Caenorhabditis elegans: one gene and its partner. The protein of the gene in region 2 purifies or fractionates together with the protein of the main gene of each other region. This does not show direct contact. Each region holds a gene or a part of one and is shown on either strand. Other genes may lie near its edges.

Evidence for each region. The genes of interacting proteins can lie anywhere in the genome.
Region 1: the proteins of mek-2 (region 2) and C01B10.3 fractionate together in Caenorhabditis elegans (co-fractionation; one large-scale study listed by BioGRID). This does not show direct contact.

The regions. Positions count from the first base shown.
Region 1 is NC_003282.8:6,618,921-6,622,971, reverse strand, and holds C01B10.3 (Endonuclease/exonuclease/phosphatase family protein), read left to right. Parts: upstream 1-1,619; 5' UTR 1,620-1,620; coding exon 1,621-1,680; intron 1,681-1,781; coding exon 1,782-1,918; intron 1,919-1,973; coding exon 1,974-2,043; intron 2,044-2,091; coding exon 2,092-2,200; intron 2,201-2,384; coding exon 2,385-2,455; intron 2,456-2,509; coding exon 2,510-2,715; intron 2,716-2,764; coding exon 2,765-3,098; intron 3,099-3,142; coding exon 3,143-3,259; intron 3,260-3,307; coding exon 3,308-3,412; 3' UTR 3,413-3,504; downstream 3,505-4,051.
Region 2 is NC_003279.8:3,010,416-3,015,073, reverse strand, and holds the start of mek-2 (Dual specificity mitogen-activated protein kinase kinase mek-2), read left to right. Parts: upstream 1-1,625; 5' UTR 1,626-1,628; coding exon 1,629-1,715; intron 1,716-1,776; coding exon 1,777-1,956; intron 1,957-2,011; coding exon 2,012-2,230; intron 2,231-3,408; exon of another isoform or gene 3,409-3,466; coding exon of another isoform or gene 3,467-3,585; intron 3,586-3,645; coding exon of another isoform or gene 3,646-4,384; exon of another isoform or gene 4,385-4,390; intron 4,391-4,455; exon of another isoform or gene 4,456-4,581; intron 4,582-4,658. Other genes in the region: col-48 (Nematode cuticle collagen N-terminal domain-containing protein), read right to left, coding at 3,467-3,585, 3,646-4,384. UniProt on the Caenorhabditis elegans protein: Functions in the let-60 Ras signaling pathway; acts downstream of lin-45 raf kinase, but before the sur-1/mpk-1 gene product in controlling vulval cell differentiation. Required for progression of developing oocytes through the pachytene stage.

The DNA.
Region 1 (4,051 bases), on a different chromosome or scaffold from region 2:
GGCGGAGTAAAAGTCGAGAACTTCCTCAAAAAGATTTTCCATTTTAATCCCATTTGTCAACAGTAAAAATACACAATTACTCCCACGATATTTATTTTTGAAATGGGTTAACTATTAGTTTAATTATTGATATCTTTCCCTCAACCTGTTCTATCAATTGTTGATGCAGTTTTTATTCAGTGTTGCAAGGTTGATGGTTTATTTCTGTTGGGACAGAAAAAGAAGAAGTAAAATAACTAGTTCGATTTTAAATTCTCGTGGTGTTTGGAAGTTTGCAACAATTTTAAAGTGTTAGATGACTCACAGGGTTTCAGTTTTAATAGATTTTTTAGTAAGTTTGATGGTGGGCGTCATTGGAAATTTTTTTAATTTATTCTATTCAGAAAATTTTAAAATTTTGGAAGTTGGTCAAAACAAAATCTAGTTTCATATTTTGATCATGTTTTAATAATTTGTACTCAAGCATCATATGGATTAAAACCTGTAGAAATGCTCGAAACAATTTGCAGAATGATTCACTCCAAAATCTCATTGATTAGAAGTCTCCCAGCCGTCATCATCATCTCTGTGCCGACATATGTTTTACTGAGAGAAGACCTAAAAAAGAGAAAAAGATTACGAAATAGGGAACGGTGATGAGAAAATAGTGTATAAGAATAAGAGATTTAAAGAAAAGGGCGTTGCCTTCTTCTATCCATTTTTTCTACGTCCGCCCGCGCAATGTTCATAGAATTAGAGACAGAGAATCAATGAGAAAATTGAGAAAAAACTGTTTGCAAATAGACATAGAGACATACAGTCATCGGGTTTCTTCTACCATTTTTCTTCTTGTTCTCGAAATTTTCGTTCACTTTTTTCTGGATTACACTAACTATTGGTTGTGGAATTTACAAAAGACTAGGCCTAACCCTGGTACTTTTAACTGATTTAAAAAAATGTATCAATACGCTTATTCAAGTTAAACATGTTTCAGTTTGTTGGTATACGTGTTCGAACTTTCAAACTAAAGTTTATAAAGATTAAAAGCTTTAGAAATCAACTCATATATTTTGTAATAAGTTGCAGTAATTACTTAAGAGTTACTTAAAAATTTAATTGACGGAAGTCAATTAAATTTTATAATGCCCAAGTTATTTATCAAGAATATTTATTTTTGGCAGCTCACATCTCCGTAATTTTTGAGTGAATTGAAAAATTCTTGTATCAGATTCAAATTTAAAATATTATTTTTTAGTTTTTTAGATTGATTATGAACAGTTTCAACCTGTTTAATTTCAATTTCTCAAGATTTTTGAACATTTCCTAACTATAACAAACAATTTGCCTCATTTCTCCAACCACACCCTACTTCACTCCCATCCTTCATCGCCTCATAAAAGGAAATGCAAGGATCTTTTTATTTGGATGGTTTCAAATTGAAATTTGAAATTGAAAATGGAAATTCTTTTTAAATTGTAATTTTTAATTTGAATACTCTCTTTTTTCTGTGCCACCCGTTCTGTCTGATGTTCCATCATATTTATTTGGAACTATTCTTGTTCGTTCTCTTGACCTGTTTTTCATTTCCGCTTTTTATTTATTTTTATAATTGAAATTTTAAAACAAAACTTAATTTTCAGAATGCCCGAGTACATCAAGCAAGTTGCAATCACTGGGGACATTTCCAGAATAGGAACTGATGTATGTTTACTTTTTTTTAAAACAAGATATGAATTCTAGTAATTTAATTTTAAATGTGATTATTTAAGATTTGATGCATCAAATTAAAAATATATTTTCAGGATGACCTGATCCGAGCCTGGTGCTCCGAAGTGGCCAAGGAAATTTATGAGCAAAAGTGTGAATTTGCTGTTGTCCACGTTCAAGGTCTTCACTCGGCTGAAAATCCAGATTATGCTGCAAGAGTTATTTGTGGATGGTAAGAATTTTTTTCTTGAAAATTTGAGAGAGTTTATGACTAAAAATATTTCCAGCATCACTGATAATCCAGAAATCTACAGAGCTTTTGATAGCTCTATGGCATTTTTTGATACCAAATTAACTGTATGTTACACTTTTAAAAATATTTGGAAATTCATTAAATAAGTTCAGGGTCTTGGAAACCTGTATCTTTTCAAGAATCACTCAGATATACAGTACTACGATAGATTTTCTTCAACTGGGTACATTAATGTTCGTTCTGGGCATCAACATTCAATTGGTTAGTTTTTTTTTTTGGGATTTTCGTGTACTCTGATAACGTAACAAAGGTATTTACATTTCGTAAATTTATTTCATGTTCTAGTAAATTTTGTACCTTGACAGGTTAGTCATTTTGAACTACTCTATTCTTAAATTCCCCTAAATGTACAAAAACATGTGATCTTGTTTCCAAAAAATTTCAGGTTCCAATGAATGTGATGGATTCATTCAGAATACATTTGGACAAAACTACACTTTTAGAAGAGATTTTTATGTAAGTATTTCTAACTTTAAAATTAGTATTTTCAATTAAAAAACCCTGTTTCAGAATGATGATGGAACTCGTGATTTGGCAAATCAAAGAACTGGATTTCTATTAGCCAGATTTCGAATTCACGGAAAAGAGTTAACATTTGTTAATCTAAATCTGCACTCTGTTCCATTCGAAGATGTAAATGAGATTGCAACAAAGAATTCCAGTATTACAAAAGCAGCATCAAAAAGGGAACAACAAATTGAAATGCTTTTAAAAGAGTAATTATATTTAGCTATTAATAAACGTTTGAATGAACAAGAATTTCAGATTGGATGAAGAAGGTCTTCGAAACGATGCAATCCTTGTCGCTGGATCCTTCAATTCTCAACTCCATGAAACTGATCTTTTGAATTATTTGGCAAAAACTCAATTGGTTCAAACTGTTGCAAAGAAAGATGAAGATGGAAATGTTGAATCAATTGAGCACGTTGATCGGCATGGAAGAAGAACAACCACTGTTGAGAGAACTCGATTTGATCTACATTCAATTCATGATTGGTTCTTCCGATTGGGAAGAGGACAAATGGTTAAAAGATATAATGGAGAATTGGCTAATATTGCATTCAAAGGAAATTTGAAAGAGGAGACATGCTTCTTCCAGGTTTGATCTGAAAACTTTGAGTTTGCCTAGTCTTCAGCTTTCAGCCTTCTCGTCATTACGAGCTTAACGACAGTGGGAAAGAAGAGTTTCAGAGGACTCTTTGCCCAGCATGGAGTGACAGAATTTTGTATAACGATCGGATGAATGAACTTTTCAAGCACGTAAGTTATCAGCTTGTTTTTTTTTTTGCTGCATCGTTATATTTTCAGGATTCTTTCTGTGCATCTGGACTGTACTATGGTCTTGTTGCTGAAGAGAAGTTTGTTGGTCCTCACAAGCCAGTCGCGCTTCATGCTTCCATTTGCTTGAAATAAAATTTATATTTTCACTGTCTTCATCTATATTTGTTTTTTGATTTTGAATTTAATTGAAATTTGTCGGCGCTAATAAACTTTTTTTTAGATCGATTCGCTTTTTTGTTGTTAATTTTTGAGAGTTACATCAATTTTTAAATAATTTTCAGACTATCAATTAGTCTACACACTAAAAAAGTTTCGGAAGTCCGCTAATATTTTCAGACACGTATAATAATTCAAGTTTTGAAGAGTTTCAGAAAAAATAAATGTCTTTAAGAAAAAAATATTTTTCTAAAACACTACATGTTTGACTCAGTTTTTAGTTATCTCAATATTCTTTCAAACATCAGTTTAAAATTTTTTATTAAAAGTAACTTCAATTTAAAGTTCTCAAAAATGAGTGCAGTGGTCAGAGAGTGAGGTTTCAGTGTGTTATTACCTAGGGGGCGGGGCGCGGGAAGAGTCGATTTGCACGTGATGCCAGGCCATTACTGTTTGATCTACAAAAATGCGGGAATTTGTCTTCAAAAAAAAAGTGACTCAGCACGTTCTTAACCATGCAAAATCAGTTGAGAACTCTGTGTCTCTTCTCCCGCATTTTTTTGTAGATCTCCGTAGTTCAAGCCGAAATGAGACACTCTGACACCACGTGGACTT
Region 2 (4,658 bases):
CATCGAGACTTATATTATCCGATTAGCAGGTCAAAAATCCCCGTTTTTGGCACGGATCCACTGAAATCTCAATAAAAATCACATTTTCTCGAAGAAAAAAGCAACAAAAGAGCCGTCATCCCCCTCTCAAATTTCCTCTCCTCCTCAATTTCGATTAAATTTTTAATTATTTAGGCGCTTTTTCTGCTCTCTTTTTTCTTGCTCCAGCAGCGGCTCCCCGCATCTCTCATCGCCTTCTTCTCTTTTCTTCTCGCTTGACCGAGCTCTCGCAGTCCGGAAAAGCAGTCAATAAGCTAGAGAGCCGTGCTTTTTTTTCACCTGTTCTCAAAAATCGCCACTTCACGACAGGTTATATTCATCAATCAATTCATCACGTTTTTGCCTCGATTTCAGAGAAAACTAGTTGTTTCGGAAGAAATTAATCGCGAAATTTTTTTTATTTTCCCTTTTTTCAGACGGCTAAAATCACGTGGAAATTTATAATTGTATAGGTTTTCACTCAAATTGGCTCGAAATAGCTCGAAAAAATTCCAAAATGTGTATGGCGAATCAAAATTCGAAAAAAAAAAACCAAAATTTGCTAAAATCAGCGGCTAAAAATCCAGTTTTCATTGAATTATCTTCATTTTTTTAGAATTTTTGGCTTTTTGCCACCCAAAAATGGTCTCAAGCATTGAAAAAACACTGCGACAAGGAAAAGTTGACAAAATGTAGGATTTTAGCAATTTTTGCTTCAAAAACACGCCAAAAAACAGTTTTGGAATTTTTTAAAAATATGTAATTTTAGGTCATTCTGAGTATATTTAAGTGAAAACCCTCTTTAAAGGTGAAGTACCGAAATTCGAATCTTTGCTTTTTTAGACCCAAATTGGTCCAAAACTACCGAATTTCGTAATGAAACGTTTCGAAAATTTCTCAAAAAAAAGTTATGGCGGTTCAAAGTTCGGCAAATTAAGGCCCACAAAATTAAGGCCCAACGTCTGGAACCCAATTTTTATTTATTTATCACTTTTTAATAAATATTGCGGTCTTTTATTAGGCTTTTATTCGTTGTTTTAAGTACATTTATGGTCAGTGGGCACAAAATGTAACTTTTATTTGTGCCCCAAAGGCCAGAAATATGCTTAAAACAACGAATAAACGCCCAATCAAAGACCACAATATTTATTAAAAAGTGATGAATAAATAAAAATTAGGTTCCAGACGTTGCGACACCGAGAAGTTGGAAAAAATTTTGATTTTAGCTGAAAGTTGGCCTTATTTTGCCGAACTTTGGACCGTCATAACTTTTTTTTGAGAAATTTTCAGAATGTTTCATTACGAAATTCGGTAGTTTTGGACCAACTTGCGTCTAAAAAAACAAAGTCTCAAATTTCGGTACTCCACCTTTGATTTCTGAAAAAAAACTCTGCTTTCAGTTAAAATTACCAAAGAAACTAAATATTTTTAATATTTCCTGACTAATTTTTAGAAAATTAAATAGTTCTGAGTATTTTCTGAATTAGACTCCAAAAATCGCTAAATTTTCCCATTTTCCCCAGTTTTTCATAAGTTTTCTTGGAATTTTCCTCGTTTTTTTTCTAAAAAAAACCTCTCGATTAAAATAAAATCCAACTATTTTCCAGATAATGTCGAGCGGAAAACGGCGTAATCCGTTGGGACTCAGTCTACCACCGACAGTAAATGAACAAAGTGAAAGTGGCGAGGCGACGGCGGTAATAATTTAAAATTATTTTTAATTTTTAAATATTGAATTTAAAAAATATAAATTTCCAGGAAGAAGCCACCGCGACAGTCCCACTAGAAGAACAGCTGAAAAAGCTCGGGCTCACGGAGCCACAAACTCAACGGCTCAGCGAATTCTTGCAGGTCAAGGAGGGCATCAAGGAGTTGAGTGAGGATATGCTACAGACTGAAGGAGAACTTGGCCATGGAAATGGAGGAGTTGTTAATAAGGTTGGAATTTGCTGAAATAAGCTGGAATTTGGAAATAAAAAGTTCAATTTTTCAGTGTGTTCATCGAAAAACCGGTGTAATTATGGCTCGGAAGCTTGTACACCTCGAGATCAAGCCGTCAGTCCGACAACAGATCGTCAAAGAGCTCGCCGTACTTCACAAGTGCAATAGTCCATTCATTGTTGGATTCTACGGGGCTTTTGTGGACAATAACGATATATCAATTTGTATGGAGTATATGGATGGGCTTTCACTTGATATAGTTTTGAAAAAGGTAATAGTTTATTGGAAAATGTGCGGGTATGTTGGAAAATGATATGGTGGACAGTTCTCGCAGGATTCTCGGATTCGGCTTGTCCTTGTGATCCGCATTGTCGATCTGACCAAGCTTCTACTCGGAGTACCTGGCTCTGCCGATGGTCCGAATGATCCTTGTGATCCTGAAGCTCCGACCTTCTTCCCGGTACCTGGAATTCCGTCTTTCCAGAGGTTCCTGGCGGATCCTGTTCAGAAGATCGAACTCCGGCGTCTCAATTGCTTCCGTCTTGTCCTGGAGATCTGCTCTTTCCCGGATGTCCTGGTGGGCTTGCTGGAGCGTTTCCTTCTGGAAGAAGTTCTCCAGGCTCTCCTGTGGTCCAGAAGCTCACGGGCATTATGGCGGAATCGGGAGAGTTCAATCACGAAGCTCGTCCTGGTGATCCTGGATCACCTGATTCTCCGACTTTTCTATGGTTCCTGGCGGTCCCTGAGCTCGCTGGTGGGCAGTGCTCGCACAATCCTGGTATTCGGCTTGCCCTCCTCCTGGGAGAAGTGCTCCAGGCTCTGCCGATGGTCCGGATGATCCTTGTGATCCTGAAGCTCCGTCCTTCTTCCCAGCACCTGGAAGTCCGTCTTTCCAGAGGTTCCTGGCTGAACATATTCAGAAGATCGTCCAATAAAAAGCTCGTCATTCTGGATTTTTAAACGAAATCTTTGGCTCACCCTGCTCTCCAGCAACTCCGTACGTGGTGTCTGTCCGCTGTCCCATTACGGTTTGACCTACAAAAAATGCGGCAATTTTTTCCCCAAAAAATGTGACGTCAGCTGAAAATTCTTCGTCTCGACTCCCGCATTTTTTGTAGATCTCGGTAGATCAAACCAAAACGGGGCAGCCTGGCACCACGTGCTCCGACGTCTCAACTTCTTCCGTCTTGTCCTGGAGATCTGCCCTTTCCAGGATGCCGTGAGCCTCCTGTCCGTCTTGATGGCCTAGTTGGGTTTGCTGGAGTGTCTCCTTCTGGAAGAAGCACTCCAGGCTCTCCTGTGCTCCCCCAATACCTCCAACAGAAGCTCACGGTGCTCTCCTGGTTCTTGACCTAGTTCTCTTTCCAGAGGTTCCTGGCGATACCTGAGCTCACCGTGCTTCACAAGCCTCTTCACCCTTTTTTTTATTAAATGGACAACTACGACATATCGATTGAAAAAATAATATAGTTTATTCGAAAATGTACAGACAGACTCGCATAAGCTTCTAATATCCTGGAGCAAGACGTGCTGGTGGGCAGTGCTCGCACGATCCTGGAGATCCGGCGTCTCCTGGCGATCCTGGAGTTCCGGCTTGTCCTGGTGGTCCTGGTGGTCCGCGTTGTCCTGAAACAAATTTAACGTTTAGAAGAAGAAGAAGAAGCCTAGCTTATCATGATAATTTACCTGGCTCTCCAGCAACTCCGGCGTCTCCGTTGCTTCCGTCTTGTCCTGGAGATCCGGCCTTTCCTGGCTGTCCTGGTGCTCCTGGCCGTCCTGGTGGTCCGGATGGGCCTGGTGGAGCGTCTCCTCCTGGAAGAAGTGCTCCAGGCTCTCCTGGTGGTCCGCGTTGTCCAGGCTGTCCTGGTTGCCCAGGTGGTCCCGGTGGTCCGGATGGTCCTTGTGGTCCTGGAGCTCCATCCTCTCCGTTTCTTCCCGGGTTACCTGGAATTCCATCTTGTCCTGGTGGTCCTGGTGGTCCTCCAAGTCCTGGAGCAGCAGTGCATGGGCATTGTGGTGGAACCGGGAGAATTCGATCATGAAGCTCGGCATCAGGTCCTGGTGGTCCTGGCTCTCCTGGTCCTTGACCTGGTTCTCCGTCTTTTCCAGGAGTTCCTGGCTCTCCATCTGGTCCTGGTGGTCCCTGTTGGCATGTGCAGCATTGAGCATCAGCTTGACGTGTAGCTCTGAGCAGAACATCAAGTGGATCATCAGCACCTTCCGGTGCAACCTCGACCATCTCACGCCACATATCCCGAGATCGGGACTTGCAGTACTCAACCTCTCCTTGTACGGAAGCTTGAAGGGTCTGCACATAGTGGAATACCAATGGGAAAGCGATAAGCACAGCAGTCACTGCGACTGTGGAGAATGTGACGGCGACGAACGCCACACTTCGCAACGATCCCTTGCTCTTCTCGTCCATCTGAAATTCTATGAATTTTCTAGAATATTCGAACAAAGAATCAAAGGTGAAGAAGGGAAATGAAAAATGTCAGAAGTGTCAAAAGAATAAGAAGAAGAAGCCTACACAGTCATTTGCCGTTGCCCCCGAGTGCTTATATGCGGCCGCTGTGGTGGAACGAAACGGCAAGTCGCGCACTTCTGTGTGCGCTGCGTCTCATCGTTGCGCACGCAATTTCCGTGCGCCCCGCGCAGTGAACATCCCTTGCGTTTTTTTTTTCGATTTCCTCATCTTC